2 linked regions of the Oryzias latipes genome follow. The protein of the gene in region 1 purifies or fractionates together with the protein of each later gene. This does not show direct contact. Links are inferred from orthologs where the notes say so. Each region holds a gene or a part of one and is shown on either strand. Other genes may lie near its edges.

The links.
Region 2: the proteins of abl1 (region 1) and shc1 purify together in Homo sapiens (affinity purification with western blotting; 5 studies listed by BioGRID, with this or other methods). This does not show direct contact. The link is inferred for Oryzias latipes from reciprocal best matches to the Homo sapiens genes ABL1 and SHC1.

The regions. Positions count from the first base shown.
Region 1 is NC_019870.2:12,798,130-12,801,084, reverse strand, and holds the end of abl1 (tyrosine-protein kinase ABL1), read left to right. Parts: coding exon 1-825; 3' UTR 826-2,253; downstream 2,254-2,955. UniProt on the Homo sapiens protein: Non-receptor tyrosine-protein kinase that plays a role in many key processes linked to cell growth and survival such as cytoskeleton remodeling in response to extracellular stimuli, cell motility and adhesion, receptor endocytosis, autophagy, DNA damage response and apoptosis.
Region 2 is NC_019874.2:18,324,089-18,327,060, reverse strand, and holds the end of shc1 (SHC-transforming protein 1), read left to right. Parts: intron 1-614; coding exon 615-672; intron 673-923; coding exon 924-1,040; intron 1,041-1,714; coding exon 1,715-1,950; intron 1,951-2,062; coding exon 2,063-2,191; 3' UTR 2,192-2,335; downstream 2,336-2,972. UniProt on the Homo sapiens protein: Signaling adapter that couples activated growth factor receptors to signaling pathways. Participates in a signaling cascade initiated by activated KIT and KITLG/SCF.

The sequences.
Region 1 (2,955 bases):
CAGGAGAACTCTAAAGTAAGTGTCCTTCATCCTGAGTTTCTAAAGTCCAGCGCGTATCCCGCTTTAGGGGCAGCTGGAGATGAGTGCAGGGCTCGCAGGAACAAGCACTCTACAGACTCATCGGTCAAAGAGAGAGGAAAGTTGCAGAGACCTAAGCCAGCTCCACCCCCGCCTTCTAGTGTCAAAATGGGGAAGGTGTCCCGAAGCCCAACTCAAGAGCTCCCTTCCCCATCATCATCCCCCTCATCATCTCCTTCAGACGTTAGAGGAAAGGGCCCTCCTTTCCCCTCCGATCTTCACCACACCGCCTCTGCTAGTGATCTAGGCTCCAAAAAACTGCCGCTAAGCTCCATCTCTAAACCTCTGCCTTTAAAGAGCTCTGCGTCAATGATCAGCTCTCCCACATCCCCAGGGGAGCTAAGCTCATCCGCATTTACCCCTCTAGTGAATACCCGGCGCTCGCTTCGCAAGACTGCGCCCCGCCAGGCGTCGGAGCGCACCCCAAACTCAGCTGTGACACGTGAGATGGTGCTGGAGGGAGCCGAGCTGCTGCGTACCGCCATCTCCCGCAACTCTGAGCAAACGGGCAGCCACAACGCGGTGCTGGAGGCCGGCAAGAACCTTTCCAAATACTGCATGAGCTACGTTGACTCCATCCAGCAAATGAGGAACAAGTTTGCATTCAGAGAGGCCATCAACAAACTCGAAAACAGCTTGTGTGAGCTTCAGATCTGCCCAACTGCCACAGGGGCCTCCAACCTGCAGCAGGACTTCAGCAAGCTGCTGTCCTCCGTCAAGGAGATCAGTGACATTGTTCAGAGGTAGCGCCATGAAACTGTAAACTTTCCAAGACAGGAAACTGATATATGTTATTTGTTACACTATCCTTTAGGAGCCAGTGTTACTGGAGAATGAAAGACGATGGGGAGCAGCATTGACGTAAAACTCCCTCCTCAGTCGGCGCTAACGCATCCTGTGGTTACAGTTGATGAAACTGTGGAGGTCATCATATGCCTCCACTATGAATGCACATAGCTGGCCATAGTGTGGGGCCAATTCTTCACCCATATTTCTTTTGGAAATGAGATGTCCTATATTTTGTGTGTGTGTGTGCGCGTGTGTGTTTCTGACACTGTTTTCATTCATGCTGCGACAATGACTTTTCCCTTTTATCTCTTGACTCAAAAGAAATTGTTGGAATGGATCAAATAGTTTGCCTCTGTCCAGCACATCAATTTTCTGTAGCTTTGCATCGTGTGTGTGTGTGTCATTGTGTGCAGAGGCAGTGTCTGGTTTGGATGGATGTTTTTATTTTGTTTAACTTTATTTTTTTAATTGTTCTTTTTTTGAAAACTTATCGAGTAAGAATGCGAGACAGAATGAGCCTCTAGCTTCATGTTTCTCTGCACACTCTGGTATCGAACAGTGCCTTAAAACTCTATTAATATGGCAGTCTTAGTCTTAACACTTGCATTTGCAGATTCCTGGATGTTTTTACTGTTTACCATACCAAAAATGTTTTGTCTGCAGTCTGTACTGGAGGGGGAGCAGGGTGCATGATCTGCAACTCAGTGGATCTATAATTTTTTTTACTGTCCTTAGATGGGACCTTTTTAAAAAAATATATATGTATATATAAATATATATATACACAGTATATATGTATGCACAAGTTTTTGATTTGTCAATCACAAAGCCATCAAAAGGAACTTGGCCTTGCAGCAGATTGCTATTTGATTTTATGTGATCTAACAAATGGACTCCATGATTCTGTCAGGCCTTCGTCTTGTCACACTGTCCAAATGCTGTTGCAGAGGTCCCTCAATCTTAGAAAAACAAATGCAAACGTGTTAGTGTGCATGTTCTGGGGGGGCGGGGGGGAACACTGGACTGAAATGTTGCCCCTCTCACAAAATGTCTCGCAGGGGTAAGGGGAGGGGGTGACAATTACAAGATTTCAGTGCTACGCATGTTCCTTATTTTGTGAACTTTCAGTATTTTGTCTTGTAATCATGTCTTCCTGTATGCCCTGTCTGACTGCGATGCCTGAGGACAAAACTCATCGCTACCTGACTTCAGCATGGTACTTTAGTTGCCCCTATCCCACCAAACATACCACTACTCTGATTTGTCAAAGCCTCAATCACCAATTCATAGACAACTTGGCCTTTATTTGTGTTTTATTTTTTTGTTTGTATGTCTCTAACCTCGGTGCAATTTTTGTGGCAATAAAATACAGTTTTACTTGAATTATACTGCAAAATCTGGTGATTTCATCCCATCTGTAAATATATATATCATCACAGACACAGACTTTTGGTTATAATTTATTTTTCTGGCTAGAATATTTTTAAATCAAAATGTCAACAATTTAAAATCATATACACGCAAGAACGCATTTAAATGTTAGCACAGCTCCTTAAAAATTTATACATATGTACGTTTTTTTTTTTCCATTCATTTTTGTGGACAGACAAAAGCAGGATGTGGTCACTCAAAACTTTAAAGAGGTTGGACACAGGAAGTAAAAACCCCCAGCCCGCCCACCCACCCTTCCATTTTCCACAATAGCAAACCTAATTCTCCCCCAAAAAATCAAGACAGCAATGTAGGTTTACCCCAAATACAGGGGCCACCTTGACGTTGGGGAATCGAATAAAACAAACCTGCCCATCATCTACTCCGAATAGACATGAGAGGAATTGACATTTGCTGACATATATATATATATATATACACTGCACATCTAGTCATTCGTCTTCCTCTCCTTCATAATAAATCCCCAGCATCAGTAGTGTGCAGGCAGGGCGGTGGTGTAAGTGTCTGTCCTTTAAATACATTTATTAATAGAAACTATGTTACAGAATTTCCCCAAGCATGAATTACAGGCAACCCACTAGCACACCAACTGTACAGATCTTGGCTGAGCCACCAAATAAATCCAAAATACAGTAG
Region 2 (2,972 bases), on another chromosome or scaffold:
TTATGCACACAACTCAGCACATTCGAATCCAGAGAGGCCTGCAGCACAGAGACGACAAACCAGGAAGAAAAATCCAAATATGTCATTTACACATATAGGTGTTTTTTTATGGTCTGAAGTATGAACACCCACAATCTGCAATGATTCAGCACTGCCCTACTTGTATCTCGGTGAAAAACTGTTGTATCCACGATGTGTGCTCAAATCAGTAAGATTTAGACCTTTTAACATCTTCACATTCACTAGTATTCTATTTTGAAGTTCATCCTTCAGAATCAGACTGCAGTTGAAAAAGTGTCTGACTTATGAGCAAAACTGATGTTATCTGTGAAACATTTCCTGAATTGGTTGCACAACTGGTGCTGACAGCATGCTGGAACTTCTTATTCAGATAAAGGTTTGTCTCCCCAAAGACAAATTATGAAGTCATTATATTTATTTGACTTTGGCTTCAGCTTCAGCTGGACTTTAATGCAGTTTTAGTAGGAATGTGTGAAATCTCTCAAATGCTACCATGTTCTTTGGTGTTTTTATTGTGCAAATGTGTACTTTATTTGAAGATGATTACATGATGCAAGAGCTCATATCATTTGGTGGAATACGTTTGTTTGTAGCTCTATGGACAGCAGGGCCAGAATGACATTCACAAGCAGCCGCTGCCCCCGTTACCAGGTGAGCTCGTGTTTCCTTTGTCTGACTGCAGTCATTTCTATTATACTTTAACATCCCCCTCTGTTTAATCCATTTATTTCAGTCCCATCTAACAGTTTTGATAGTGCCACAGCTTAAAGATGTGTTTTTCTGCTCCATTTTTTTCTTTCTTTCTCAGCTCCACCATGTTGCTGCTTCTTTGAAATGAAAACTTAAGATAAGGTCACTCGTGTCAGCTTCTGTCTCTCTCTTTTTTATTTTTTATTTTTTAGTGGGTGCTAAAGAAGGAACTCGAGAGCTGTTTGATGACCCTTCATATGTCAATGTGGATAAACCTCGTCCTCCGCTTGCTGCAAATGGAAATGCTAACAGAGACGCCTTCGACATGAGTGAGTGTCTCCCATGTTAATATGTTATTTATTAACCTGATAAATCTAGAACAAAAGGAGGCCTTTATGTAAAACATTTAAACCCAGATGAGTGGTTTTCTGGGAAACTCGACGGGAAAGTTCATCAGTGGCTTGATTTCTTCTAAATGGGAGTCAATGCGAAGGAAAATGACTGGCAATTATGATATTCTATTTTACAATATGGAAAGAATTGGGGTTAATAGATATCTTTAGAGATGAGCAAAGTGGTTTGTACTTTACACTGAAGTGGCCAGCTTTCTCCTGAGGAAAGAAAATAAGGAAAGAAGACTTTTTAGACAAACATTGTAATAGTTTTATTTTATCCTGTCAACATGGTTGACAGGATAAAATAAAACTCAGTTTTATAGTAAGTTTATTGCTTATAAGAAAAGAAAAAAAAAATTACTTGAGCCAAACTAAGGATGTTTTTTTATTCATTTGTTTGTTTAACAGTTTTAATTGACTACATCATTGTTCAATTGCTTTTTATTTTTATTCTATTGTTGTTTGTTTTTACCTGTGAATCTCTTTGGTGAGCCTGGGCTTTTGTACAGTGCCTTATTAATCATTTTTGATTAATTATAATTAATAACTTAACACAGAAAACCCTTTTTAGGATCATTTTCCTGACATTTTCATTTGTATAATTGAAGAACCGCTTGATGATGCCCTCGGGGTCTCTGGGACATCGGCGCCCCCTATGGTGCAGCAGCTGCAGAATGAAATCTGGTTCCATGGCAGTTTAACTCGCAGGGAGGCAGAGAGACTTCTGACCAGAGATGGTGATTTCCTGGTGCGGGAATCCGGTACCACGCCTGGACAATATGTTCTTACCGGGCAGCAGGGGGGTCAACCCAAACACCTGCTGCTGGTGGATCCAGAAGGAGTGGTGAGTCATGGTGGGAGTGCAACAGAAAAAGTCAAACAGGGGGGAGAGGCAATACTTTCCATAAAAATGGATGCAAACACATTAAGTGTATTGTTTTTTCTTTTTCCTATAGGTGCGCACAAAAGATCACCGGTTTGGAAGTGTCAGCCACCTGATCAGTTACCACTTGGACAACAGACTTCCCATCGTGTCGGCTGGGAGTGAGGTCTATCTGCAGCAGCCAGTGGAACGCAGAGCCTGAAACCACACACCAATGAAATACTCACTCCAACAGAAGATCCTAACAAACACACGTTTTCAGCAACATCTATTGAATGAACGCAGAATAAGTCTAAATGAACACACAAGCAGCACAGACAACCAAAAATAAAGAAAGAACATCATCACTCCTGTAACATTTTTCTGCCAAACTGTGACCTGCAATCTCTCAACAATATCAGGTGCCGTCCTCCAGCACGGAGAAGCACTGCTGCAATTTCTCTGCTTACTGTGAAACAGGAAACAAATGCAATCTAATTTTAAAGAACAATGTTGACTCTCCATCATGAATACCCACTAATGTAGTTGAACTGCAGAGGATCACGGATGGATGCAGAGTGAGACACTTTGAAAAGAGGCAAACCCTTCTGCCCTCAGACTGTTGCTGGAGCATTTAAGACAAAAACAAACTGGATTCTGAAACTTTTTCTGCACCCGACTAAACCTCTTCCTCCAAGTGTCGCAAGAGGACTTCGGCAACTCTGACCTTAAGACAAGTCTAGCAGATGAATATGCAGACAAAAGTGTCCCTCCTATCTTATCAGGAAAGTCCCTCCTCCTCGAGCTACTTCTCTTTTAAGGTCTTTTGAACTGCTGGAGGAAAACCTGAGCCCAAAACTGGGACTGCTATGCTAAAGACCATCCTTTGTGTTCTTTTTTTTATATATATATATATATATATATATATATATATATATATATATATATATATATATATATATATATATATATATATATCTGTTCTCATCACTCACTGGACGTTT